Pelodiscus sinensis: one gene and its partner. The protein of the gene in region 1 interacts with the protein of each later gene in a pairwise test. Links are inferred from orthologs where the notes say so. Each region holds a gene or a part of one and is shown in the gene's direction. Other genes may lie near its edges.

Region 1 (15,093 bases):
TCCTAGGAATATGTCACCGAGATTATATTCATCTCGGAAACTAGGCTGCGGCAGCTCACCTGCTTTCAGATTCTGAAATACATAAGTCCTTCCAAAAGTTAACATGGGTGAGAAACTGGTTATATAGAGTACTTTTTATTCTTAAGGCAGTGGTTTCCAATATGGGATCTGTGAGGACACTGCATGGGATCCACAAAGTTTTTAAAAGTAAGGATTGGGCCAACCACAGTGGGCCTGATCCTTGCTTTTCTTTTCCTTTTTTCTCTTCCCCCCCACCCCCCACCCTAGAGCGCAAGGGGGCAGCAGCCATGCACACCAGGACGACTTGCTTTTCATCCCATTCTCCAGAAGCTAAGGGAGTGTGGGGAAAGTGCTTGCATGCTGTGCATGCCTCTCAAACCTGGCTGATGTGAGAGGCATGCCTGGGATGCAAGCACTTTCCCCTCGCTCTCTTAGCATCCAGGGAACAGGATCAAAAGCAAGCCATGTCCTCGCATGCATGGCTGCTGTCCCTCTCCTCCCCCTCCATGCTCTTGAAGTTCCATCCCGTATCCTCCCGAAGTTCCACCCTTGAGGAGCTGGCAGCTCCAGTGCTCCCTTTGGCCACAAGAGCCCCATACTCCATGGATGGGCAGGGGATAGAGGGGACAGGAGCTGAGGAAGCAGCATGTGTGAACAGCAGCCAATGGGACTCAAGAAGCTGTGCCCTGCAGTCTGCATGTCACTCAGCCCACCCTGAAGCTGACAAGCTGTGACTGCACTCTGGGGTCAGCATATAAACAGGTCAGTCACATTGTACCATTTTTCTCTCTTATTTGAATACGTCACCCCACTCTAAGCATTCAAAAGCTATTAGAGTGGCAGGAAGGGTTTGTTGGGCCCCTAGCAAAAATGGATGGTGGATCCAATAAAATTTTATTCAATAAAAATATTTGGCACCTCAAAGTTGTTACATTTCAATGTGGACATGCTGTATTATATCTCAATGCTACTATATTGGTTTTGATAACATGAACTATTATACATTCCAAATGATTATCAAGAAATGGAATAATAGAATCCTAGTATACTAGGACTGGAAGGGACCTCTAGAGGTCATCGAGTGCAGTCCCCTGCCCTGATGGCAGGACCCAGTACTGTCTAGACCAGTGGTTCTCAGCCATGGGCCATATGGATCCCCAGGAGCCACGCCCTACCTCTAGGGGGCCACATGGAAAAAACGGAACATTAGGTAAATTATGTACCTTTTTTTCCAACTAACAGCGGCTATGAGAGAGGCCGCAGAGGTAAACGAGGCTCAGAAGGGGGCCATGAGCAAAAAAAGTTGAGAAACACTGGTCTTAGACCATCCCTGATAGACATTTATCTAACCTACTCTTAAATATCTCCAGAGATGGAGATTCAACAACCTCCCGCAGCAATTTATTCCAGTGTTTAACCACCCTGACAGGAACTTTTTCTTAATGTCCAACCTAAACCTTCCTTGCTGCAGCTTAAGCCCATTGCTTCTTTTTCTATCCTCAGAAGCCAGGAAGAACAATTTTTCTTCCTCCTCCTTGTGACAACCTTTTAGATACCAGAAAACCGCTATCATGTCCCCTCTCAATCTTCTCTCTTCCAAACTAAACAAGCCCAATTCTTTCAGTCTTCCTTCATACGTCATGTTCTCTAGACCTTTAATCATTCTCGTTGCTCTTCTCTGGAACTTCTCCGATTTCTCCACATCTTCCTTGAAATGCAGTGCCTAGAACTGGTCACAATACTCCAACTGAGGCCTAATCAGCGCAGAGGAGAGCGGAGGAATGACTCTTTGTGTCTTCTTCACAACACATCTGTTAATGCATCCTAGAATTATGTTTGCTTATTTTGCAACAGGGTCATACTGTTGACTCATGTTTAGTTTGTGGTCCACTATAACCCCTTTCTGCCATATTCTTTCCTAGACAGTCACTTCCCATCCTTTATGTGTGAAACAGATTGTTTCTTCCTAAGAGGAGCACTTTGCATTTGTCCTTATTAAACTTCATCCTGTTTACCTCAGACCATTTCTCCAATTTGGCCAGATCATTCTGAATTATGACCCTAACCTCCAAAGCAGTTGCAACCCCTCCCAGCTTGGTATCATCTGCAAACTTATTAAGTGTACTCTCTATGCCGATATCTAAATGGTTGATGAAAATATTAAATGGAACTGGTCCCAAACAGACCTCTGCAGAACCCCACTTGTTATGCCTTTCCAGCAGGATTGTGAACTGTTAATAACTACTCTCTGAGAATGGTGATCCAACCAGTTATGCACCCACCTTATAGTATCCCCATCTAAGTTGTATTTGTCTAGTTTATTGATAAGAACATCATGCGAGACCGTATCAAATGCCTTACTAAAGTCTAAGTATACCAAATCCATCGCTTCTCCCTTATCCACAAGACTCCTTATCCTATCAAAGAAAGCTATCAGATTGGTTTGACATGATTTGTTCTTTACAAATCTATGCTGGCTGTTCCCTATCACCTTATTATCTTCCAGATGTTTGCAGATGATTTCCTTAATTCCTTGCTCCATTATCTTTCCTGGCACAGAAGTTAAACTGACTGGTCTGTAGTTTCCTGGGTTGTTCTTATTTCCCTTTTATAGATGGGCACTATATTTGCCCTTTTCCAGTCTTCTGGGAATCAATCCTGTCTTCCATAATTTTCCAAAAATGACAGTTAAAGGTTCAGACACCTCCTCTATCAGCTCCCTGAATATTGTAGGATGCATTTCATCAGGCCCAGGTGACTCAGACATCCTATCAGAATGTTTAATTCATAACTCCCATTTGCTTTTGCCCCCATGACCCACTTTTGAACAAAGCCCATCAGCTTGTGAGCAAACTCCACATATGTACACTCACTGAACATTTTAAAGCTTCTAAATTTCACCCGGTGAGATTCAGAGGTAACCCTGAACTGTTTAAGTGCATAGTCTTTAAACTGCCCATAGTCTAATGCTTCCTCCTCTCCCAGATCATTTAAATACCTCCTTACCTTGCCAGTCTGTCTTACCATCAGGTCAGGCATGCGCTGGTGTCACGTTACTGGAATTTGAGGGAAGCAGCCAGATCATGGCTGCACCCATAGGTGGGGATGCTGGCCCCAAAAATGATATAAAAGGGGGCCCTGTGGGGTGTTGAGTGGGAGCTGTTTGCTGATCCTGTGTATGCTATTTATGTGAGTGTATAATGTCTGTGTGTGTAGGTAGGAATCTGTAATCTGTGCGGAAGCTGAATATTTCTCTGAATGTGGTTGAGCATTGGGCAGAGCCTGGCCTATGGACATGCTAATTAGCGAGGCCCTGTTGGACAATGGCACTCGATGGGCCAAGGACATACCTAAAGCATGAGGGCGGAGACCTAAGAGCTGCCAGGAGAGAGAGGCTGAGGGCCAGGTAACCAGCTGCAGACAAGAAGAGGCCAGGAAGGAGGTATAAAGAGGCCATGTGGGGGATTCCTTTTTGTCTTCAGCTCAGCACTTCATCCCAGAGGCAGCATTGCAGGGATTGAAGAGCCCGAAGGACCTGTGGACCCATCCTGATTCTAGGATGCGCAACAAGAACTTTTAAACCAGAAGCGGTAACATCTCTGCTACAGCCTGCATCGAGAACTGGGAGATTCGGTGCATGTAATGTATTATTCCTTTAACAGCCTCTCTCTCAGGCTTTTCTTTCTTGTGATAATAAACCTTTAGTTGTTAGATGCTAAAGGATTGGCCCAGCGTGATTTGTGGGTAAGGTCCAAAGGGTAAATTGGCCAGGGATCTGTGGCTGGTTTCTTGGGACCGGACAGAACTTGTTCGGAGTAGATGGGATTGGGTGCTAGGACCCCCCACCTGTGTATGAGGCCCGGGGCCATCTGAGGCACGGATATTGCTGGGATGTCAGAGGGGTTTTGCTTGTGAGGCTTCAGGCAGGCTGCTGAAGCTCTTTGTGGGACTGGTTTATGGCCTGTTCAGAGAGGTCACCAGTCTGGGGGCTGTAAGGAGCCCCGGATTTGAGCAATTCGCCCTGAGCAGACGCCCTCAGCTGTGCCCAGACTCGGCCCGGTCTGTCACAGCTGGTCATCTGGGATCCGGTTCACATGGCCAAAAACTCCTCAATATCCTCATTATTGTTGTAGATGGGACAGATCCTTTCCCAACTCTTGTTCGAAAGTGGGGGTGAGCTTTCTGGTTGTAGTATCTTTTGTTGCTCTTCCAGTATTCGGAGTCGCTTGTAACTCTCCTCTGCCGCCAGCTCTTGCTTTCGCGTGCGTGGTCTGCCTCTTTTTCTTCCATTCGCCATGCATGGGCCACTCTCTCCTCTTCCGCTGATGCCTCCTTCTCCTTTCGACGTATCTCGGCCAGGGCCCTCTCATGTTCCAGCTCCATTTTCTTCAATGCCTGCTGCTTTCTAATTTCTTCTGCAACAGCATCCGTGGCATTGGGTGGGAGCCGCTCTATTGCCCGCTGGTCCTTCTGCAGTAGCAAGATGTCAGCTGCTGCTTAGTAGCTTTCTTCCTAAAGTCAATGCCTCTCTCTGAGCACAAATCCTTCAGAGCCTCTCTGTTCAGACTTTCATACCGTTGCTGACTCATTGCAGTTGCTCTTTAACCAACCAAACTCTTAACACCAAAAATCCACTTTAGACAGCGTGGGGTCCTGATCCAAAGCTCAGTTGACCAAGATCTGTGGATCCTGCCGACTACGCCACTGTGACGGACCGGGCTGGGTCTGAGCACAGGTGAGGGCATCAGCTCAGGGCCAATTGCTCAAATTCGGGGCTCCTTACAACCCCTGACTGGAGGTCCTTCCCAAAGAGAACACAAACCAGTCCCACAGAGCACTTCAGCTCATGAGCAAAACCCCTCTGACACCCCAGCTCTCTCCGTGCCCCAAACAGCGCTTGGCCTAACACACAGGTGAGGGGTTATAGGACCCAATCTCACCTTCCCCGAATGGGTTCTCCAGTCCCAAGAAACCAGCCACAGTTCCCAGATCAATTTATACTCTGGATCTTACCCACAAAATCATGCTGAGTCAACCCTTTAGAATCTAAAATATTATTATTAAAAGAAAGAAAAGCATGAGAGTAAGGTTGTTAAAGGATAATACATTACATGCAACGAATCACCCAGTTCTCGATACAGGCTCATAGCCAGGGCTCGCCAAGCGGTGGAGAGCCCTGCTCACCAGCTGCACAGTTCTGCAAGCTGCGCATGCGCAGATCGCGTGGCGTCGGCTATGCCGTCTTGTAATCTACTCGCCACGGGCAAGTAGATTACATGATTTGTCGAGCCCTGCTCACAGCAGAGATGTTATAACTGCTGGCTTAAAAGTCTTTGGTGTACATCCTAGTAAGGATGAGTTCACAGTTCTTTCTGGCTTGTGGTTCCCTGCAAGGCTGCCTCGTGGGTCGAGAGCTGAGCTGAAGACCAAGATGGAGGGTGCCACATGGCACTTATAACCCTCTCCTGGCATCTTCTTGGCTGCAGCAGGTCACCTCGTCCGTGGCCTATCCCTGTGTTCCATGCTGGTAGCCCTTAGGTATCAGTCACATTCCTGAGATGTGTATTTGCACCTAGAGATTCATTGTCTCCTTGCTAATTAGCATAGCCATAGGCTGAGATTTCCTTGCAGAGTACATGTTTATAACTCCACATACAGATATTATACAAGTACCTGAATAGCATACACAGGATCAGTAGAACACAAGCTTTCATGTAACATCTCACATGGCCCCCTTTGTATAGACTTTTGGGGCAAACACCTCTCCAGGGGGCAGCAGTTATCTAGCTGCTTCCCTTAAAATCCAGTAACATGACAGATGGGCACAGAACTTCTTAAGCAAAATGTATTTAAGTGTGAAAATACAAAATTGTGAGATGGAAATTCCGTGTCCACTGTGCTTGGAAACTGTTGCTTGGATGGGAATTTGAATGTGTCCCACTTTCCTAGGTTTCAGAGCCTCCACATAAACCACAACTTCAAAGCACCACCTTTAGGCTATGTCTACACTCACGGCTTCTTGTGCAAGAACTCTTGCTCAAGAAAACGTCCACACTGCCATGTGCGAGCTGTGCTTTTGCACAAGAGCACCCATGGCAGTGTGGACGCTTTCTTGCGTAAGAAAGCTCTGATGGCCATTTTAGCCATAGGGCTTCCTTGCGCAAGAAATCCCTGTTAAGCGTCCACACTGCCCTCTAGCGCAAGAGCTCCTGCGCAAGACGGCTTACACCTGTCAAAAAAGAGCATAGCTCTTGCTCAAGGAGCCCCCTCTTACCACGCCGTACTGTAAATTTACTTGCGCAAGAGGCAGCAGGCACTGTGGATGCTCTGCAGATTCTTGCGCAAGAACGGCCGTACTTGCGCAAGAAGCTGCGAGTGTAGACATAGACTTAAGAGTGTTAGCACAGGCTCTGCTAACCCATGTCTGTTAAATCTGACTGAAATACTACCTTTCACAGGCTGAGTAAAAACACCATCAGAGGCCAAATTTTGCTACAAACAAAAAAATCACCTTTACATCACCAAAACAGCACAAGTACTAAAAACTGTAACTAAATGTAGCAAAAAAGGAGAATTCTTTAGCTAATTATTGATTACTTAGAAAATCTTTTTTTCCACTACTAGGAAACACGGTGTGCAATTATATGGCTGTCTTGTCAGCAGAAATGAAAGGGGAGCCATAAGTGAACTTTAAATGTGGACATTGGTTGTAAAAGTTATATTTCCAAAGCCTTCTTTTCCTATACCTATTACCTGACACTAGCTGAATGGTAGCCTAGACCTTTTTCTTTCTAGAAGTCTTCCATAAGAGAGAGACAGAAAGAAACTGAGTTACCACCAACCAGTTACCTACTCATTACTTTGATATACAGGCAGTCCCCGAGTTACGTACAAGATAGGGACTGCAGGTTTGTTCTTAAGTTGAATCTGTATGTAAGTTGGAACTGGCGTCCAGATTCAGCCGCTGCTGAAACTGATCAGTTTCAACAGCGGCTGAATCTGAATGCCAGTTCTGACTTGCATACAGATTCAACTTAAGAACCCCAGGCGTCCCCAAGTCAGCTGCTGCTGAAACTGATCAGCGGCTGATTCCAAGAAGCCGGGGGCAGAGCAACTCTGCTTCGGGCTTCCTGTAGTCAGCCACTGGTCAGTTTCAGCAGCGGCTGACTTGGGGAAAGCCTGGGGCAGAGCAGCTGGGGTGCTGCTGGGTTGCTCCAGTAGCGCCTCTCCTCGGCGCTACTGGAGCAACCCAGCAGCACCCCAGCTGCTCTGCCCCCTGCGTCCTGATTCAGCCGCTACTGAAACTGACCAGCAGTGGCTGAATCAGGACACCTGGGGCAGAGCAGCTGGGGTGCTGCCAGGTTGGTCCAGTAGCGCCGAGGAGCGGCGCTGCGGGACCAACCCAGCAGCGCCCCAGCTGCTCTATCCCAGGCGTCGTGGGAGAAAAGCCTGGTCTGCTAGGGGGGAGAGGGCACTAGCTGCGCCCCAGCCCCCCCCCCACAGCAGACCAGGGAGACGCGGAGCAAAGCCACGGAGGACGCCCGCAGCGGGACAGCCCAGGCGTGCTGCGGACGTCCTCCGAGGCTTTGCTCCCCGTCTCCCTGGTCTGACCAGCAGACCAGGGAGATGGGGAGCAGCTTTTCTCGCCCCGGAGGACGCGGGCAGCGGGACCGCGGCTCATCTGGGCATCCCGCCGCTCCCATTCTCTGGGGTGAGAAAAGCCCCGTTCGTAACTGCGGATCCAACATAAGTCGGATCCACGTAACTCGGGGACTGCCTGTACTTAAATATAACTACAAAAATTAAAAAAAAGACAAAAAAAGCAGGAACATAAGAACCACCAGCGTGGTCAGACCAATGATCCATCTAACCAAGTATGCTGCCAATAGAGGTCAATGTCAGGTGCTTTAGAAAGAATGATGAGAACTATCAAACTACCCTTCCGCTGCTGTCACTCTCAGGTTCCCAGGAGTGATACTAGCTGCCTTATGGAAGTACAATTTCTGAACTGGACAACAGGCACGAGTATGTATAAACTAAGTCATGGCTTTGTTTTCATGCCTTTTATGAGGCCATGCAAGAAAGAACATAAAAAACTCTCTGAAAGCCCTAAAACACATCCCAGCTCATTATGAATTTCCCAAAACATCTAGGATACTCTGAAGCACCACTGTATCCTCATATATCACCACACAAGGCCATGATAGTGAAATATATTAAACTGCATCTGGATTTAATAAGAGTTATGGTGCATTATAGAAGAGCATGCAAAGAAGTCACTTGTATTATGCAAACCAAGCAAGTAGCTGCAGAAAGAAAGGGGGAAAATTTACCTCATAAAAGGGAAAGGATAGCACATCAGTGGGAACATTTTTTTGGCTGTAGGTGCTGTTGAGTAGTTGAATGTTTTTATTGTTGACACAGATAACAGCCAGATCAAACTGTTGCACATTCAAAATCTTCTGAAGGGTTTCTATACTTCTGCGAAGTGGGATGCGCCTGAGGGGTATGATTTTCTGCAGATTGCGAATGATTAAACTCATTTTACTGGAAGCTATTCAAAAGGTGGTTTGAGGGGGCCCTGCCACTTAATGTGAAATATTAGGCACTGATCGTAACTAACAATCCAGTAGCAGATACCAGACACTACTGTTGCTTGACGGTCCGGGCAAACGTAGATACACACATGACGGAGAGCAGCGGCACGGTAAGGTAAGGAACTTGTACACCCTAGCGCCAGTCCGCTGAAGCGTTCAACCCCCTGGCACCACTGCAAGCCGGGATCCCGACAGCGCGAGGAGCCCCGCCCCGCGTGCGCCCACTGACGGTCGTTACAGCCGGTAGCGCGCGCAGGCAGCTGTCGGGCCTCCCGGGGCGAGCTCCGCAAGGACGCTCGATGTTAACGCTGGAGCCTGAAACACCCTCTGGCGCGCGGCGGCGGCGGCGCCTCCCCTACCCGCTGCAAGCACGTGCGCGGGCCGCGTGAGGCCGGGGCCCGTCTGTCCGGGCGGCAGCTCTCGGCCGCGGAGGAGCCGGGGGCCGTTACAAAGCGCTACATGGCGGGCTGGACGCTCGTGCCGCTGCCGCTCGCCCCGCGCGCTGTGACCGGAAAGGGACGGACGCGCCTGGGAGCGCGCGCAGGGCGGAGCTTCCGGCGGGCGGTGCCTCCCGAGCGGCACAGACCGGAAACGGCTGAGACCGCCCCGCCCATCGGGTGCGCGCGCGCGGAAGGAGAGGACGGTTTCTCCCCGCGAGCGCGATGGCGGCTCCGCTCGTGACCTGGACCGGTGAGAGCGGGGGCGGGGCCTGGCCCACTGGTACCGAGCCCGGAGCTCGCCCGTTTCCCGGGCAACGCCCTGCGGCCCTTGCCCCCCGGCCCCTCTCAACCCCTGCCCCCCCAGACGCCCCCTGGCCCCCCCTCTCCTGTTCGCTGCCCCCGGGCACCCCCCCTGCTCCCCTTTCCTGCCCCTGGACACCCCTGCATTTCCCTCTTCTGTCTCCTGCCCCTGCTCCCCCTCTCCTGTTCCCCTCCCACTCCTGTTCCCCGGGCACCCCCCATCTCCCCTCCCACTCCTGTTCTCTGCCCCCTAGCACCTGTCACTCCTGTTCCCAGACCCCTACCCCTGAGCACTCCCTTTGCCCCCTGCCTCCGAGCACCTCCCTCAGAACCTGTTTCCTGCCCCCCCCATTCCCCAACCCTGCCCCCGAGCACTGCCCTGCGGCCCTTATTCCTGATTCTCCCAGTCCTTCTCCTTGCCCCGGGCTCACACTTGGCCCCCTTGTGTGTTACCACTATTCTTGGTTCACTTTATATTAGAAATGTACAATTCTGGTTAATTGGCTAACCTGCTAAACCTGTTGTTTAACTGGTTAACTGATTACAATGGATGAGCAGGGGGCTGGTACAGCCTGGCTGGAACATCTCCCCGCCCCTGCCACAAGTAAGGGCTGCTCCAACCATGCCAGAACAGCCCCTGTCTGACTTGTGCCCCAGAGTAATGGTGTGCAAGCCATGAGAGGGTGGCGGATGTCTTCCCAGGAGGTCGTGGCACTTTGATGCTGCTGGCCGGGGGCTGGACCCGGCCTTTGGGAGCTGCGCTGTGCAGCGCTTAGATCTGGCCGGCTGGGTGCAGCCATGCAGCATGGCAATTAGATCCGGCTGGCCAGGGGCTGGACCTGGCAGTTGGCGGCCCCAGCAGCGCAGGGGATCGCAGACCAAAAAAGGCTGAGTACCATTGCACCAGAGGGCTGCAACAGCCTCTGCCAGTGGTTGGTGGGGAGCTGCTCCAGCCTCCGCCAGTTAACTGGTTAAACCTTCAGGCTGTGTCTAGACTGGCAAGTTTTTCCGCAAAATCATCTGCTTTTGCGGAAAAACTTGCCAGCTGTCTACACTGCCGCTTGAATTTCTGCAAAAGCACTGCCGATCTCATGTAAGATTGTCAGTGCTTTTGTGGAAATACTAGGCTGCTCCCATTCGGGCACAAGTCTTTTTTCGAAAAACTTTTGCGCAAAAGGGCCAGTGTAGACAGCAGAGATTTGTTTTCCGCAAAAAAGCCCCGATTGCGAAAATGGCGACTGGGGCTTTTTTGCGGAAAAGCGTGTTTAGATTGGCCACGGACACTTTTCCGCAAAAAGTGCTTTTGCGGAAAAGCGTCCTGCCAATCTAGACGCGCTTTTCCGAAAATGCTTTTAACAGAAAACTTTTCCGTTAAAAGCATTTCCAGAAAATCATGCCAGTGTAGACGTAGCCTCACATTCTTACATTTACCTTCTGTTTCTGAACAGCTGTTCCCATTAAAATTGGGTGGGATGCACGGAAATGAAAGTGTAGGTTAGGCTATGCGGTCAGGACTACAGGTGTTCCTTTGTGCTTTGAATTATGGCTTCTGTAGTATATTCAATCAGCAGGAATTTATGGAAAATTATTTTAAGCCCCCCAAGTTCAGGTGTGCCCCCCTTTTGGGACTATCTCTGTTCCACATGGAAACATGAGTTTCAGAATAAGGGTATTGGTTGTGGCCCAACTGTAGCCTGGCTGCTTCTTGGAGTGAGTAGTTACGGTATATTATTCTGGGAAAACTTAGGCTCTGCCTTAATTTCCTTTTTCCTGTGCAGCAGTCTCTTGAAAATAGCATACAGTAAATGGTTTAAAAAGTAGCTAAGCAGTTAAGTATCAGTAAATGCAGTAAAATTAATCATAACATTTTCAGGGAAAGGGTAGTACCTAAAACACTGCAGTAGATTTTTTTTTTTTTAAAGGCAGCTAGTCATAAAGCCTTTAAAGTTAAAAGTGAAAAAATATCCTTAGCGTTGATGTTAACAAATTAGGGCCTTACCATGCATCTGATCTGTATGGGCATACAGCCGCTCCCCGAGTTGCGCGTTTGCACTTATGACCAAAGCTCCCATGGAGCGGTCGTAAAGGCAGTCCCCGACTTACAAATGTGACCCACGCTTACGAACAGTGCAGTCACGTGTAACTCAGTGGGGTCTGAGTTACAAACGGATTGTTACGGCGAAGTGTTTGGTCCATAACTCGTTTGTAACTTGGAGAGAGGGTATACTTTTATACCCACTCAGAACCTTTTCATTGATGAAAGTGCCTGCAGGTGCAGGATCCAGGCCTTCATTGTCACGGTCACATGTATAGTAGGTAATTCCTACTTTATGGTTTAAGAAGGCTGAGGGATTTAGAGAAGCAGTTGGAAAATGAGCAAAACAAACAATTGTTCAGGATAAACTTAAGAAACAACAAATAATCTGGTAGCACTGACTAACAAAACATGTGGTGGTATGAGCTTTCTGGTCTATCAGAACTAGGAATCCTCTAAAGAAATTAATGGTGCACTAGACTACCAGGGACTGAAAGACATTAGGGATGTGAAAGACTAGTCGACTATCTGATAAGCAAAAGCTTATTGATAGTCCATACTAGTCGACTAGCCACCCTCCCCCCCCCCCCTTTGCCTCTATCAGAAAGAGGCAGCAAAGGGCTGGGGGAGGGGAAGTGGCTGGGTGTTGCTCCTTTAAAATGCTGTATGGAGCTCTATGCTGCGCTGCCACTTTGAAACTTAAGCAGTCCGCCGCTGGCCCAGAGCTCCCTGCATCGCTTTCGTCTTTGAGGTGTAGCTCCAGCACTTCAGAGGCAAGGCTCCCTTATAGACTAATCAAATAGTTGATGCAAATTGCATTGACTATTCGATTAACCTATTAATCTAAATTTAACATCCCTAAAGGATACTGCAGAGAAGCTAAATAATTTTAGTATTCACAACAGAGGGTGTTAGGGAGCTAGCTATCCTGACCTACACTTTTCAGATAATAAAGAACAAGGCATTGTCAGAGACTTAGTTGTCAAAAGAATAAGGTTTGGAACAAACTGATTAAATAGCATCAAGTCATAAAGACTGTATGGTACATCCAGGAGTTTTGAAGAAAGTTAGTAAAGTAACTGAATTGCTAGCAAAGCAATGCAATCTATTATACTATTCAACTACTGTGTGTCTACATTGTCCCGTTCAGCTACTTATCTTTAAAAAGAGCAATAGAAGCAATCCTAGTATATGCTACTATGGTTCTAGGTTAAATAGTTGAACAATAATTACAGATAATTTTAATGGGCCTATGAATATGATATAGAAGGGATGAAATGGTATGCCTTCTGTAAAGGGAAGTTCTCTTTCCTCAGTATATTCAAATTGTTTGAGGTTATCAGCAAAATAATGAGTAAAAAATTGGTACATTAGAACTTTTAAAAAGTCCTTCACAGGACTGTTAAGAAAAATAATTAATCATGGGATGAAGGAGAAAGTTAGAGTAATAGTGTTTAAGGCCTGAAGGGAGCGCAAGGAAATGTACTCTTACCTGTACAGTAGAGACCACCACAAATCCAACAACAGGATAACCTTGGATGCTTAAATGAAAGGGAAAGGAGTCCAGGAGAGCTGGCAGTATTTTAAAGAAACCTTATTAAAGGTACAGGAAGAAACCATCCCGATGTGCAGCAAGAAAAGCAAATATGTTAGGCGATCAGATTGGCTTACCGGGGACATCCTTGGTGAGCTTAAACACAAAAAGGAAGCTCACAAGAAGTAGAAACTTGGACAGATGACTAGGGAGGAGTATAAATATATTGCTCGAGAATGTAGGGGAGTTATCAGGAAGGCGAAGCGCAATTGGAATTGCAGCTAGCAAGGGATGTGAAGGATAACAAGAAAAATTTCTACAGACATGTTACCAATAACAGAGTGATCAGAGAGGGTGTGGGGCCCTTACTGGATAAGGGAGGTAACCTAGTGACAGATGATGTGGGAAAAGCTGAAGTACTCAATGCTTTCTTTGCCACTGTCTTCATGGACAAGGTCAGCTCCCAGACAAATGTACTAGGCAACGCAGTATGGGAAGGAGGGTGGGCAGTCCTTGGTAGGGAGAGAACAAGTTAGGAACTATTTAGAAAAGCTAAACATACACAAATCCATGGGTCCGGATTTAATGCATCTGAGGGTACTGAGGGAGCTGGCAAGTGTCATTGCGGAGCCTTTGGCCATTATCTTTGAAAACTTGTGAAGATTGGGGGAGATCCCTGATTACTGGAAAAAGGCAAATGTAGTGCCTATTTTTAAAAAAGGGAAGAAGGACAATCGAGGGAACTACAGACCATTCAGCCTTACCTCAGTCCCTGGAAAAATCATGGGGGGGAATCCTCAAGGAATCCATTTTGAGGCACTTGAAAGAGAGGAAAGTGATCAGGAATAGTCAACATGGATTCACCAAGGGTAAGTCATGCCTGAAAAATCTGCTTAGCTTCTATGGAGAGGTAACTGGCTCTGTAGATACGGGAAAGTCAGTGATGTGATATACCTTGAAATTAGTAGAGCTTTTGATACAATCTCCCACAATTTTCTTGCCAGCGAGTTAAGGGAATATGGATTGGATAAATGGACTAAGATGGATAGAAAGCTGGCTAGACTGTCAGACCCAACGGGTAGTGATCAATGGGTCGATGTCAGGTTGGTGATTGGTTTCTAGCAGAGTACCCCAAGAATCTGTTCTTGGACTGGTTTTGTTCAACATTTTTATTAATGACCTGGATGAGGGGATGGATTGCGCCCTCAGCAAATTTGCAGATGACACTAAGATAGGGGGAGAGCTAGATACGCCAGAGGGCAGGGATAGGGTCCAGAGTGACCTGGACAGATTGGAAGATTGGGCCAAAAGAAATCTGGTGAGGTTCAACAAGGACAAGTATAGAGTCCTGCACTTGGGACGGAAGAATCCAAAGCATTGTTAGAGACTGGGGACTGACTGGCTCAGTAGCAGTTCTGCAGAAAAGGACCTGGGGATTACAGTGGCTGCGAAGCTGGATGACAGTCAACAGTGTGCCCTTGTAGCCAAGAAGGCTAATGGCATATTGGGATGCATTAGGAGGAGCATTGCCAGCAGATCCAGAGAAGTGATTATTCCCCTTTATTTGGCTCTGGTGAGGCCACATCTTGAACATTGTGTCCAGTTCTGGCCCCCCCACTATAGAAAGGATGTGGACACATTGGAGGGGAGACAGCGGCAGGGGACCAAAATGATTAGGGGTTGGAGCGCATGACTTATCAAAAGAGACTGAAGGATTTGTGTTTATTTAGTCTGCAGAAGAGAAGAGTGAGGGGGGGGTTTGTTATTCCAAAAATATTCTCACTGGAGACCACCCAGGGTTACACTAGTATGGGTTTATTTCCACTAGGTAAGACTAAAGAGGAGAAAGCAGCCACCAAAAATTTAAACTAAAGAAGATAGATCGATCTCTCTCTCTCCATTCATTCACTCATTCACATCCATGCATTCCTGCCCTCAGGCACTCACATACTTACACAGACATATGGGTTGCAGAAGGAGCCAAGGCATGTGGATCCTGGAGGGTTTGTCTGATCATCATGGCTGGGGAAGCTGGTCAGGAGGGGAGACCATTGTGCTCCGTCTCTTTATATAGTGTCTGAATGTCTCCTGTGACTCATTCACCTTGCCATCAGGGAGCATGCCCAGACTCCCCTTTATCCAGCAGAGAGCATGCCCAGACTGCAA
Region 2 (15,089 bases), on another chromosome or scaffold:
CATGATCAATGCTATACAAAGGCAACATATTATTAGTTATTTATTATTCTTATTAGACTGGATAGTCATTTAGTTTGTATGGTACCATAGTGATCTCTGAACTTCCTCCGGGATAAAAACACAAAGTAATAGAAGTCAATTCCATTATCCCTGCTCTCGCTGTCTCTTTCACTCCTAAGGATTGAATTGGTCAAATAAATTATTAATGCAACTGTTACAGTACCTGAGCTGCTGCCATGAATAACAACAAGCTGCTATTTTTAACCTTAACTTTTAAGGCCTGGAGCCATTCTGAGAGTCCTTTCTGACTTCTCAGATGCTCTACCTCTTGTGTACAAGGGAGAGAAAAAGTGTTAATATTTGTTCTTAAAGTCAGAACAAAACATAGTCACTAAAGCTACGTCTACACTGCAGGCTTTTTGCGCAAGAGCAGCTGTTCTTGTGCAAAAACTTGCCGGGTGTCTACACTGCATGCGCGTTCTTGCACAAGTAAATTTACAATACAGTGGCAGAAAACAGGGCTTCTTCCGGAAGAGTTATTCCTCTCCCCATGAGGAATAAGCCCTCTTGCACAAGAGCTCTTAGGGTACGTCTAAACTACATGCCTCCGTCGACGGAGGCATGTAGATTAGCCAGATCGGCAGAGGGAAATGAAGCCGCGATTAAAATAATCGCGGCTTCATTTCAATTTAAATGGCTGCCCCGCTCTGCCGATCAGCTGTTTGTCGGCAGATCGGGGCAGTCTGGACGCGACGCGCCGACAAAGAAGCCTTTCTTGATCGGCACAGGTAAACCTGGTTTCACGAGGCATACCTGTGCCGATCAAGAAAGGCTTCTTTGTCGGCGCGTCGCGTCCAGACTGCCCCGATCTGCCGACAAACAGCTGATCGGCAGAGCGGGGCAGCCATTTAAATTGAAATGAAGCCGCGATTATTTTAATCGCGGCTTCATTTCCCTCTGCCGATCTGGCTAATCTACATGCCTCCGTTGACGGAGGCATGTAGTTTAGACGTACCCTTACACAAGAAGGCAGTGTAGACAGGCAACATGAATTTCTTGCACAAGAAACCCTTATGGTTAAAATGGCCATCAGAGGTTTCTTGCACAAGAGAGCGTCCACACTGCCATGGATGCTCTTGTGCAAAAGCCCATCTCTTGCGCAAAAGCACATGGCAGTGTGGACATGATCTTGTGGAAGACATTTTGTGCAAGAACTCTTGCGCAAAACAGTTCTCGCACAAGAAGCCTGCAATGTAGACGTAGCCTAAGGGTATGTCTGCACAGCAGTGCTAAAATTGAATTAATTACTCAACTTGAGCTACATCAATTGCGTAGCTTAAGTCGAAATAGCTTAACTCAGCTTTTGGAGCTGTGTATGCAGCAAGACGTTGAAGGAAGAACAGTCTTCCTTCATCTTCCCTTACTCCTCGTAAGATGAGGGGTACCAGGAGTTGGAGTAAGAAGTCCTCCAGCTCACCATTATTTCAAATTAATGGCTTGTAGCATAGACGCGCTCTTCGTTATAATGCCAGTTATTCTGAAATAACACTGCTGTGTAGACAGCCTAAGGAAATTATAAGTTCACGCTGCTTCACACCACCACCTTTAACCTTTAATGTAACATCAAGGATAGATCTCAGGTCCTACTACTCTAAAAAGATAGGACTGTGCCATTTAAGCCAGAGGAGACTTTCCCTCAGCTAGCAGCAGTATAGGGCCTATGATGCTCAATAGTGCAGTTCTGAGTTAACCCACTAAAGGGGCAGTGGTGCTTAATCAGAATTTACACTAACAAATCAGTATCCTCCTCTCTCTCACACTGGTGGTAGCAGTTACACTCTGCACAGATGTAAATAACTACACATAAGATGCAAAGCCGTGGAGAACGAGGCTCATAACCTCTTGGGTGACATACGTTACAAATACATTTCTTGCTGGCAATTTACAGTGAGTTACTGGTGTCCATGGCTTGTTCTGGAATCAGATCCACAGGTGCACTGAGAGCTGGCTTCTCCTGAAACAAACAAGCAGTCGGATCTCTTTCTATTCCATCAAATGCTTCTATCTTTTCTAATATCCTTCCCTTCAGTGACCGCATGAGCTAGGACACTATGCCAGTGTTTCTCAAATGCCACCCTGGCCACTCGGGGCTTTTTTTGTGGCCACTGCCTCCTGGGCTGTGTGGGTGTGTGTTTAGGGAAAGAAGCCTGTGGCAGTCTCTCTCCTGCAGGGCCCTCCTTACCCATACGCAAAATACACGGCCACGTGGGGCACCATGAACTTTGGGGCACCAAATTGCCCCAACTTTCACAGGGCCCTATGCAGCTGGGGGCTGCCTATGGGCTCCAGCAGCCTCCATTCCCCCCACAGGCTGTCCTGGACCTCTGGTCGTCCCCAGCCGCTCCCCCTGGCTCAGCACCAGCTGGCTAGCCTCTCAGGGCTCAGTACCCAGCCCCTGCTCATAGGGTTGCCAGGTGTCCGGTTTTCACCCAGACTGTCCGTTATTCGGGTCCCCTGTCTAGTAAAAAAAAACAGAAAATACCGAACATTTCGGTATTTCCTGTCTCCCTCAGACAGAAGCCAGGTGGGGACAATTTTCCCCTGCCGCATCTGGCAGGGGTGGGGGGAGTGAGGAGGATTGCGGGGCCATTTAAAGGCGCAGTACCTCCCCCTTTTTTTTAATTCTAAAAGTTTGCTCTACCCTCCCCCCCCTCTTTTTTTTCTCAACAGAATTTTTTTCCAGTGTTTTTTGGGGGGAAGGGGAGGGACGGTTCGGTATTTTTTGTTAAACCATCTGGCAACACTACCTGCTCACCAAGCAGTGGCAAGTGGTGCTTGCGGGGCCAGAGGACACAGACGGAGCAGGGGGCAGCCACAGAGTGAGCAACTGGAGAGAATGAGCAGTTTCCCCTTAAAAGTACTGCTTCTCTCTGGCTGGCTATGTGACTGCCTGCTGGTCCTCCGGCCTGTGCCTCCCTCTCAGCCCTGCTCTGCTGCTGCCAGTTCTCCAAGACTGCACAAACTAGACACCATTGCAGTAAATGGCATCTAGATCGGGAAAACTGGCAACCCCTTTCAGCTTCATCCCCCTTCCCTGTGCAGAGTGGCCATTGGGGAAGTGCTGGTGTTGGGCTGCATATGGCACCAGCATCGGTAGGGATGGCCCTGTTCCCCCACCCTGGTGCTCGTGGTGGTTGCAGGGCTGTCAGTAGGGTTTGAGTGCTGCCCGCCTCTGGAGACAACTGAGGCACAACGCTGTAGGAGCAGGCAGGCAGTAAATTAGTTCCCTACCTTCCCAGCAGTGGTGGGGATCACGATTTGGGCTTCAGTCCAGAGAGGGGCAGGACTTTGGGCTCCATCCCTAAACTTTGACTACACAGCAGTAGTCCCAGGCTGCCTGCAGGGCTTAATTTGTGCCCAAGCTTGGTAGGGCTGATTATATCTGCTTGGAAAAGTGCTACTTGTGTGTTTGTTAATATCACTTTTCACAGCAGACTTACTAGCTAGCAATAAATAAATTACAATGATTTGGACGTACATATGTGCTTATTTATTTGCTTTTCCTGAAGCTAACTAAGTACAGCAAAACTCCAATAGTTCGGCATCCAATTGTACGGCACTCCTGATAGTCCGTCATCAAAATGGCAAGAGCCTAGTGAATGAGCTTCGGCAAACAACGAGTCACAAAGCAGCAGCGACAGCAGCTGAACCGAGCAAAAAGGGTAAAAAAGGGTTAAAAAAACTAAAACATTACAGAATACTGTATACAGCATGTACAATAAAAAGGGTTAAAAACACTTTATAGACAGTATATACTGTATACAGTGTATATATAATCATCTTATAGTATCTCCTGATAGTCCGGCATATCCAATAATCTGGCACCACCTAGGTAACAAAGGTTCCAAATTATTGGCAGTCTTCTGTATTTTAGTATTTCCCTTTGATATTTTGATACCCTCTGCTCCTTGTTTCCTGCCACCTTCCTTTTTTCCCCCTTCCCCTCTCTCCCTTCTCCCCTATTTATTTTGGGTCTAGACATCCTAAACTCCAAACTCCGGTCATCTGAAGAAGAGGGCTGTGCCCACAAAAGCTCATGATACCATCCCCAAGTTTTGTTAGTCTATAAAGTGCTACCAAACCATTTGTTGTTTTGTAAGTTTATCCTGTACAGGCTAATTTGGCTACTCCCTGAAGCTTAGGAAAAAGTGTGAGAGTGGCCAGCAGAAAGAGTTGGTGGCTTCACTTTGAGGCCACCAAAAGTTTTGTCCTGAGAACCCCTGTTCCACGCTGTCTATCACAGAGAGTGGAGAATATAAACCGTGCATTACCAAGAGAGGAAAGCTGCCCTAGAACTGATATTTAATGTAATGTCTGGATAACATTTCTAAGCAACTCCCCATGCCCTCTGTTATGATGGCTGAACCTGTAAGCCCAACTGCAGGTGTATGATTGGCTTGTCTGCTCCTACTCCATTCTAGCCTAAGCCTGTCCCCTGTGTTTACTGCACACACATTGGTTCATTCCAGTAACGGGGGCTGTTGTCTGCACACACATTAGCCAGCATATTCCTGGATGTTTCCATCCTGTGCCAAGCCCAACAAGCTTTTATTTTTCAACTCTACAAATATAAGGCTTGATCCTATCCTCATTCCCATCGACAGCAGAACTCCAAGAGTAAGTCCATAACCTTTCTTCTTCTGCTGCTTTTCTTCACCATGGCTTCATGGGACTATAAGGGTACATCTACACTACGGGACAAAGTCGAATTAAGATACACAACTTCAGCTATGTTAATTGCGTAGCTGAAGTAGAAGTAGCTTAACTCGGCTTTTGGTGCTGTCCACACTGCAGGAAGTTGAAGGGAGCACACTCTCTCCCTTCGACTTCCCTTGCTCCTCGTGAAAGCAGGGGTACTGGCATTGACCGGAGTGCCCCTCTCAGTTCGAATGAGCTGAATTAACTAGACCCACTAATGTGAACCCTGGAAGATTGACAGAGGCAGCTTCGATCTTCCTCTGTAGTGTAGATGTACCTTAAGGCTGTGTCTAGGCTGGCAAGTTTTTCCGCAAAATCAAATGATTTTGCGGAAAAACTTGCCAGCTGTCTACACTGGCCACTTGAATTTCCGCAAGAACACTGATGATCTCATGTAAGATTGTCAGTGTTCTTGGGGAAATACTGTGCTGCTCCCATTAGGGCAAAAGCCCTCTTGCGCAAATCATTTGTGCAAGAGGGCCAGTGTAAACAGCACAGTACTGTTTTCCGCAAAAAAACCTGGATCGCGAAAATGGCGATCGGGGCTTTTTTGTGGAAAACTGCGTCTAGATTGGCCACGGACGCTTTTCCGCAAAAAGTGCTTTTGCGGAAAAGCATCTTGCCAATCTAGACGTGCTTTTCCGAAAATGCTTTTAACGGAAAACTTTTCCGTTAAAAGCATTTTCGGAAAATCATGCCAGTGTAGACGTAGCCTAAGTGTGCATGGTGCTTTTCAGAGAAAATAAAGAGATGAGGCCAAATCTGCAGGTGACTCTGAGCCATGATTGATGCACCCCTATAGGAGACATAGATGGCTTTCTACACCTTTCCATCCCCTCTGATTTTGGAGGCTACCAAGAGCTAATTTGACCCCAAGCGTAGGTTAGATCATCCTCACCCTCAAAGATGCTGTAACTGGCACCAGCTGGAACATCTGGCCTTCTGCGCTTATTCTGCTAGTCTAGGAACCTGGGAATGCATTGTGCTTTGGCCATACTTCTTTATGGCTCCAACATACTTCCTTGTCTGTATAGAGTCAACTAGTCTAGTTTATGCCACCCAGAGATTCTCTTATCTGAGGGGAATCTCCAGCTTCATTAGGGATGCTTTCTGACTGCTTCGCGCCATCAGAAACACATGAAGCAGCCAGAGCAGGGACCAGAATCTGGTCAATGGGACATCATTCTCCACCATCCTGCATGTCTGCAGTGAGTTACCATCCTGACTGGGTAGCATTTTACACCTGCTCAGTGGATAATCAGGTCCAAAGTCACTGCTCCAAACATCTTCCAGCCTAGGTAATACACAAGATGAAATGCTGGAGGGAGACATAGCAGAGGGAGAGGCAGGATGCATGCAATATGATTATGCACTCGCTTGCATTGCAAGGATTATGTTACATTAGCCTAGAATTTATATTTACATTTGCCTAGAATGCCAAAGGTTAGTTTGGAGGTGTGAAACCGTGGGCACAAATCCACCCTTTCAGTTTCATTGTCCCAATTAAGTCACTACAGCTAAAAGGAGAATTTAGCTCATTCTAAGAGAGATTGCGAAAAGAGATAGATTTGAAGGACCAAGAGGCTGCTGAGAATACTGGATGAGGAAGGCTATTAGTGTAGGGGCCAGCACAGGAAGTAGCAAAATGGCCGTGAAGGGCAGCAGAATTGGTGGAACTGCAGGACTTGGGGAGGCCTAATTCTCCAGTCAGCAATTTTACACTAGTGAAGCTGTATTGACCCCAACCAAGTTTATTCCAAGAGGAGAGGAGAAAAGAGTGGGACCCGAAAAATGAGAAGCAAGGAAGGGGCAGAACTGTACTGTTTCAGTTGTGGAACCAGGGAAAGGATTAGAGGGGTAGGGTGATTATATTTGAACATTCAATATATCATCCTAATTCAATAACAACAGCTATTTAGCAGATTTCAGATATATAGGTGGAGCTGAGCCTGAGACCTAACCCTGTAAAGAGGAAATAGGGCACTTACTGATTATCTAGTCTCGTTTGTGCACACACAGAACAGTTAACTGTGTTCCATTGGAATCTGCTTCCCCCTAGTGGGACTGAATTGGAATGACTAAAGATTTTGATGTAGCATTTTACATAGGTCATAATCCTCTTCTCACTGCTTCAGGGAGTAGCCAAGTTCATCTGTATTGGATAAACTTAAAAAACAACACATAGTCTGGTAGCACTTAATAGACTAACAAAACATGTAGCCGTGGGGGAGGGATAGCTCAGTGGTTTGGGCATTGGCTTGCTAAGCCCAGGATTGTGAGTTCAATCCTTGCAGAGGCCATTTAGGACAAAAATTTGTTAGGGATGGTACTTGCTCCTGTTGTGAAAACAGGTGATTGAACTTGATCTTTCAAGGTCCCTTCCAGCTCTAGGAGATAGACAATCTCCATTAATTGAATACGAGGTTTTGTGGGCACAGCCCACTTCTTCAGATTACCAGAGAATTGAGTTTAGGATGTCCAGACCCAAAATAATAAATAGGGGAGAAGGATACAAGAAGCAGAGGGTTTGTAAATATCAAAGGCTATGTCTAGACTGCAGGCTTCTTTCGAAAGAGGCTCTTTCAAAAGCATCTTTCGAAAGAGCCTCTTTCGAAAGATCGCATCTAGACTGCAGGCGGATCTTTCAATAGAGGAAATCCACTTTTTCGAAAGAGAGCACCCAGCGAGTCTGGATGCTCTCTTTCGAAGACGGCCTCTTTACATTGTAGAACGCCTTCTTTCGAAAGAGGAACTTTCGAAAGAAGGCGTTCTTCCTCGTGAAACGAGGTTTACCACCATCGAAAGAAAAGCCGCGTTCTTTCGAAATAATTTCGAAAGAACGCAGCTTGAGTCTGGACGCAGGGGAAGTTTTTTCGGGAAAAGGCTACTTTTCCCGAAAAAACCCCTGAGTCTGGACATGGCCAAAGGGAAAACCAGAAAGGCAAAACTGGTAATCAGTAAGCTCCTAAAAATTGAATAGTAAAAAGAAGAAGATAAGGATCATAGGATAGCAATTAAGAGAGGAAAAGTACTACTACAAAAATCTACCCAGATAAAGAGCTGTTGGCACCTTCATTGTTTGTTTGATTGATAATGTCCCAGCCATCCATTATCTTGATTGAGGCCATAGGTGTGAGAATTAATTTGTAGATGAATTGTAATTCCAACCCTTCTCTGTGTAAAATTGGTCTGTAACAAGACAGCCATTTGGAGATCTGTGGATTGTGCCCACGAAAGCTCATGATATTATATATATATTTTTGCTTGTTGCTAAGGTGCTACAGGACCATTAGTTTTTAAAGTTCTTTCCATTTTAATTACTCATAAGTTTCTAGTGTAGAGGAAGTGGGGTGAGCTGCAGAAAAGCATTAAAATGTGATCCCAGTTCATCCTGTTCGTCCAGAAATATAATTTATTCCATCATGTGCCAACAGTGTCCTTCTGCTATGTATATTGGACAGACTTCTCAGACACTTCACCACAGAATTAATGCCTACAAATCAGACATCAGACATCTTCACAAGGAAAAACCAGTTGGTTTTCATTTCAACTTATCGGACATAGTCTTAACGACCTTACTACATGCATCTTACTTCAAAGAGACTTTAACACCAGATTACAGAGGGAAACTTCAGAACTTTCATTCATGCTTAAATTTGACACTTTACGAATGGGCCTTAAGATGCTAATTATCTTACCCATTACAAAGTTTCTCCACTTATCACCCCTAATTAGCCATTCATTGACTCATATATAGCTATCCCCTCCCTTCCTCTCCCTGGCCCCACCTTCTGTACTAAATCTGATTTGTCAGTTTAATAATGTGTTCACTTTTTTCATTGTATTCTTTTGGTATATATGGTCATGCCAATTCTCTTCCAGAATATGAGTTAAGGAAGTGGGTCTGGCCCAGGAAAGCTCATCACCTATTAACCAATCTTGTTAGTGTTACATAGTTTTCCCTTTTGTTTTAACAAGATCAGACTAACACCTCCCTATTTCTATCGTAAGGGCTGAACAACCAGAAAGCACATAGCACAACCTCTCCTCATTTATTATTATTACTAATCTCATAGGTTTGGGAAGGCTCGCTCATGGCTACGTAATACAGTGATATTAACACTGCAAGGGCATGTCTACACTATGTGGAAGACACTGCCATGGTAGATTTTTGGGGGTTCGATTTAGTGGGTTCATCCTCTAGATCGAACTGGAAGGGCAACCGGGTTGGCTCAGGTACTCCTGCTCCTCCCATTGGCTTCCCTCTGTGTGCAGAGCACAGAAATGCGATGTAAGAGACATAGCTGGAGTTGTGTATCTTACTTCGACCTTCCGATGTAGCAGAGACTAGGCCTAAATGCCTGACTTGCTATGGCTCAGAACTGACCCTAAAACATGCACCCGTGATGGACTACATGGCCCAGCATGCCTCTGGCAGGCATGCACCTCCCAGCATGCAATGCTCCCTTGGCCCCCACAGCGTCTAGTAGAAACTACACATCCCAGCATGCTCGAGGGCGGACTACAGCGTGAAGGACCGAACGTTCTCAGCCTCTCCCCCTGATTGGCTGAAGCTGTGGCCTCTTCTCCCGCTCTCTGGTATTGGCCGGCCGCTTCCCGGCTCAGTCAGAGGCTGGCCAATGGGAGACGGAGCCTTGGTGACCCCTGCGGTGGCGGGAAAACGCGGCCGGTTTTGGCGCCAGGGGCGGAGCCAGCGGCAGCGCGGGCGCCCCTGAGTCCAGCCTTTGCTCCACGGCGCCGGCCCCGCTCCCCAGCGCAGGCACCATGGCGGCCCCCGCGGCGGCGGGGCTGGAGGACGCGGAGCTGCGGGAGGCGCAGCGCGACTACCTCGATTTCCTGGACGACGAGGTGAGACTGGGCGAGCTCCGGGCCGGGGGGGGGCGGTATGGAGAGGACCCAGGCGTGGGGGGGGGGGGCTGTTGCTGGGTTTCCTGTCTCCCTCCCCAGCCCGGGGGGGGCTCCCCCCTCCCCGTGTCCAAGTTTGGCCTCTGGGGGGGAGGAGATCCCCGCCCCCCCTTGCAAACCACGCCCATTCCCGGGGGGGGGGCGGTCCTTGCAAGGTGGGGCTGCTGCCCTGCACCCCCCCATCTTGTGCACGGCCAGTCCCGTAGCTCCGCTCAGGCGCGGGGGGGGGGGGAGGTTTAAAAATCTCGTTTTAACGCTTTGCCCTGCACACCCCCCCCCCCCATCTTGTGCACGGCCAGTTGGGGAGCCCATGCTGGCACTGCCACCGCACTTGTGGGGCTGGGGCGCACAGAATCTACTAGCCTGCCCTCCCCCCCCTTTGGCTCTGGTGTGCAAGGGGAATGTGGGGAGTGTCTTTCTCTTTCGCAGCTTGAGTTGTAACTGACTATCTGCAAGAAGGCATAGGGTACTAAAAAGGAACGCAGTCTGTACTGAAAGCTGGGGGGGGGGTGATCCCCAAGTTGTTGTATCATGCAAGCAAGATAGTAACAAACTTCAACAGGCCTTTTATTTAACAAAGGTGAAACCTCTTTACAAAGCTGCTGCTGCTCCCCTCTGTAGCTCTCACTCAGGCCTGGCCCATCTCCTCCCCCCTCCTTCCTCTTTCCTGTGCTTCCAGATTCCCAACAGCCAGTGCTCCCAGTTCTAATAATTACAAGCAGCATCTAAAACACCGCACAGGTAGAGGATAAATTCTTGTGCTTGCTCTGATGGAGCTAGCATACCAAACATAGAAGGATGCTGTGTCAGCAAATGTCTGAGATCACATGCATATAAGTACATAATTTTGATGGTTAGTCCCTCCTGCTGGTTTGGTTACACTATTGGTTATGCTCTATATTTAGTGAGCCGTCTCAATCAGAGATGGTGAGAATAAGGGCTTGTCTTCACCATTGGCTCAGTGATCAATCCAGTTGGTGTTGATTTATCAAGTCTATTAAAGTCACGATAAATTGACCACAGATCACTCTCCCGTTGACTCTGGTACTTCACCTCAATGATAAGTGCAAGGGGAGTTGATGGGAGAGCACTGCCTGTCAGTGCACTGCGTCAAGCATGCTGCAGTAAGTAGATCTAAATATGCTGACCTCACCTATGGTAATTGCATAACTGAAGCTGCATAACTTAGATCCTATGTTTCTTCGAGGTGGGAACTGCATTTCCAACTCAAAGTGAAGGTGTTGACACTGCATTCCTCTATCTGGCCTTTCCTTGCAACAAAGATATCCAGCATGAATAACAGGAAGGGGGTGGGGGGGGATTTCCTGAGCCACTAAAGACAAATCAAATGGGCTGCATCTCGCCAGCTTAACTTTGTAAAAGGGAACCTTTCTCTCATGGCATGCTGCAGGAGGACCAGGGAGTTTACCAGAGCAAAGTCCGGGATATGATCCACGATAATCAGTATCGTCTGATTGTTAGCATCAATGAGCTGAGGAGGAAGAACGAGAAGAGAGCCAACCGGTAAGAGTAACCTGTGAAGGAACTCGACAAGAGTGTTTCTTCCAACTTGGCTCCTGCACAGCATGTAGTGAGTAGTATGAGAGGAGAGCCTGTACAGTTGTTGTTTCCATGTTGGCAAACTTTGCAGGCAGGTCAATGGGTTAAACTATTACTTTCTCTCTAAAGCTCTGTAGTAGAAAAGGTTTGTCCAGTGTACTAACACCAGCAAATCCTACTAAAGGAAATGTAGATTACACAGGTACCCTAAGCACTTTTGCTGCTATACCTTTTAGAGGGACTCTGAGCAAAATAAGATGTACCAGCCAAAATGCTTATGCTGGTATTGCAGCATCTACAGCAGGGCTTTTGTCAGTGTTGAAATGGTGCTGACCCTTCCCCCAAAAAAGAAATACTAACACACTTGTAAAAGTTTCTTGTGTAGACCTGTGCTAAGGTAATATCTTCACAACCAGAAAAGTGTGTGCTTTTTGTTTTATTATTGTTTGTTGTTGTTTTTGTTACAGCAAGATAACTATCATGCATTAGCCATCTTGATGCAAAATTATAGGAGATGAAGCACAGGTAGCATTTATCATGATGTAGCTCAGGCGTGGGGAATCTTTTTTTTTAGGTTGGTGGCCACTGACCCACAGAGAAAAAATCAGTTGGGGGCTAACCAAGTGAGAAGCAAAAAAATAAACCCTCCACAGTCCTCACTGACCTGGTCCCCAGTGAGAAGAAGGAAAAGAAGACCTTTCCCTCAAGCTCCAGTCCTGGAGATAGGGGAGGCTCTGAGGCTCAGGGGTTACACCACAGTGCTGGATTAACTCTTCTGGGGGCCCAGAGATACTCTCTGGAGTGGGGCCAAAAATGAGGGGTCCAGTGTGTGAGAGGGGGCAGTCGGGGAGAGGGCTAGGAGTATGGTTGTGGAGTCAGGGAGGGAGGGTTCAGGAATGGGTTAGACTGTATGGGGTCAGGGCAGGAGGGAGGTGGCAGAAGCATGGTGAGGATGCATGGTCTGGGAGGGAGGGTACAGGAGGAGGCTGGAGGTGAGGTGCAGGGTCTGGAAGGGAAGGAAGGAGCGTGCAGACATGAGGACTGAGCAGGGGATACAGGAGGGGGCAGTGGATATGGGGTACCTCTCACCCTGCCTTGGAAAGTCCATGGGGCCCAATCCAGCCTATGTCTTGCTTTGATTGGGCCCACAAGGCATAAGCCATGTGCTTCCCCCCTGCCTCATGGCTGGAGTGCCAGTGCTGGCTTGTGCTGCTGAGGGAGAGCAAGCCCCAAGCCTCGTGGGCCAGATTAAGTCAATGCAAACTCCCTTTTGTGCATTTTGGTTGGCATGAGACTCCATCTTATCTGCTGAGAACATCACATCTGCAAACTGGAATCTGGCAAGCAAGGTCCAGTCTCCTATTTTAGAGGGCATTCAATCCGTATGCAATTCTAAACCTGGGACTTGCCTTCTCCCCAGATTCAAGGACCAGCTGCGACCCTGTGTAGCATTCTAGCCTGTGTGCATTTGTGCTAAGAAAACCTGTTTGCTGCGATGTTTGCAGAAAGCCCATATGGGGGTTGGAACATTTTAAAAGCACCCAGTAATTTAGGAATCTTAATGAAGTTCAAGACTAGTCTTACTCAAATATTTCAGCACCTACAGATAGGCACCTAATGAGACTTTCAAAAGTGATATATTCAGTTTGGTTCCTAAATCCCATATACTTGCAGTAGAGTATCGATCCTGGTTAGGGACTTGATGTCCATAGTGCATTCACTTCTTGACTGAAATGAATCCTCACATGGGTGATGGGAAAACAATTGTCAGTGTTTGCACAGCTCTGCCGCTGTTCTGTGAGGGCACTAGGAATTGCCGTTCTGTAAAGAAAGGGTCTTCCTGCTGTGGATGTGCTAGCAAGACAGCTGAACTGATTGGAGTCCTGCTGCCTTTTGCTCTAGGCTCCTGAGTAGTGCCTTCGAGGAGCTGGTTGCCTTTCAGCGTGCCCTGAAGGACTTTGTCGCGTCCATCGATGCCACGTACGCTAAGCAATATGAGGAATTCTACATCGGGCTGGAGGGCAGCTTTGGCTCCAAGCATGTGACTCCCCGGACACTGACATCCTGTCTTTTGGGCTGCATGGTCTGTGTGGAGGGCATTGTAACAAAATGTGAGTGCAGGGGGGGGCTGAGATGTGCCATATGAATGCCCATATGGGATTGATAACTGCCTGTAGATACTAGACCAGTGAGAATGTCAGGGATGGCTAGGATGATCCAGGGTAGTGCTGCTTAAATTAGAGTCTCATAGACTTTAAGGTCAGAAGGGATCATTGTGATCATCTAGTCTGACCCCCTGCACAGTGCAGGCTACAGAATCTCACCCACCCCTCCCAGAATAATCCCCTCACCTATATCTCAGATATTGAAGCCTTCAAATACTTTGAAGACCTCAAGATGCAGAAAATCCTCTAGCTGTGATCTGTGCCCCATGCTACAGAGGAAGGCGAAAAACCTCCAGGGCCTCTGCCAATCTACCCTGGAGGAAAATTCCTTCCCGACCCCAAATATGGCGATCAGCTAAACCCTGAGCATGTGGGCAAGACTCATCAGCCAGACACCCAGAAAGTTCTCTAGTAATTCCTATCATCCCTCCATTGACCTATTTCCCAATGATACTGAATGGTCAATTAGTTACCAAGATCATGTTATCTCATCAAACAATCCCCTTCATAAACCCATCTAGTTTAATCTTGAAGCCAGATAGATCTTTTGCCCCCACTACTTCCCTTGGAAGGCCGTTTCAGAACCTCACTCCTCTAATGGTTCTTCTAATCCAGAAGAACAGGGATTTCCAGGACCCTACATCTGAATTCAGAGTTCCCTTCTGCACCCCAAACCCCTTGTCCCGCTTCACCCCATACAGCCAGAGCCCTCACCTCCACCTCCCCCTACCACACCTCAACCTCATATCCCAGCCTGGTGAAAGTGAGTGAGGCTGGGGAAGAGGAAGCCACAGAGGGTAGAGTGAGAAGAGGTGCTGCAATAGGGGGCGGGAAACAATTTTTTGTTAGAGAATCACTTTTCTAAGGTATATCTAGGAGTCCTGGAGTGAAAGGTAGCCAAGAAGTTTAAGTTTGCTGTCAGGGAACATGTCCGGAGACCTGTCTGTTGTGGAATGGTCTCCCAGTGAAACCTCATTGCTGGAGTCATGTCTACAGGGTTTCTTCTAACTTTTTTTCCTCCCACTAAACAAATGTTAAACACAGGCTCTCTGGTACGTCCGAAGATCGTCCGCAGTGTCCATTACTGCCCTGCTACCAAGAAGACCATTGAACGCCGATATACGGACCTGACGAGTCTTGATGCTTTTCCATCCAGCTCTGTCTACCCCACTAAGGTGAGCAAACAGAGGTAGTGTCAAACATTCACCAGAGGCCAGGGGAGGGAAGTGACTTGTGCAGGACTGTACATGAGTTCATCTGTGGACTGTGCATGTTGGTTTAAAGCAGCAGTAATATATAGGCCTAGCTACGGCAGAGGTGCTGATGCATTTGGGGCCTCTTCTAGTGTCCAGTCAAATGCCCTCCCAAGAAACAGACAGCAGCATCAGCTAACACCGTGTTAGTCCTGAAGGCAATAGCACAAAGGAGGTTGCTTATGAATCGCTTTGCAGTCTGTGCTGAATTTGCTAGAGTTCAAATCTAGGCTCCTGGTCAGACAGAAGCATCTACTAGATTGGATCGAGTGGTCTCTTAGGGTACGTCTAGACTACATGCCTCTGTCGCCAGAGGCATGTAGATTAGGCTACCAGACATAGGAAAATGAAGCGGCGATTTAAATAATCGCCGTTCATTTAAATGTACATGGCTGCCGCGCTGAGCCGACAAACAGCTAATCAGCTG

What was found.
Region 2: the proteins of MCM3AP (region 1) and MCM3 interact in a two-hybrid assay, tested with the Homo sapiens proteins (2 studies listed by BioGRID). The link is inferred for Pelodiscus sinensis from reciprocal best matches to the Homo sapiens genes MCM3AP and MCM3.

The regions. Positions count from the first base shown.
Region 1 is NC_134717.1:65,900,331-65,915,423, forward strand, and holds the start of MCM3AP (germinal-center associated nuclear protein), read left to right. Parts: upstream 1-9,156; 5' UTR 9,157-9,308; intron 9,309-13,643; exon of another isoform or gene 13,644-13,796; intron 13,797-15,093. Other genes in the region: endoribonuclease YbeY, read right to left, coding at 1-72, 8,355-8,564.
Region 2 is NC_134713.1:8,415,970-8,431,058, forward strand, and holds the start of MCM3 (DNA replication licensing factor MCM3), read left to right. Parts: upstream 1-9,430; 5' UTR 9,431-9,543; coding exon 9,544-9,627; intron 9,628-11,095; coding exon 11,096-11,208; intron 11,209-13,146; coding exon 13,147-13,355; intron 13,356-14,453; coding exon 14,454-14,584; intron 14,585-15,089. UniProt on the Homo sapiens protein: Acts as a component of the MCM2-7 complex (MCM complex) which is the replicative helicase essential for 'once per cell cycle' DNA replication initiation and elongation in eukaryotic cells.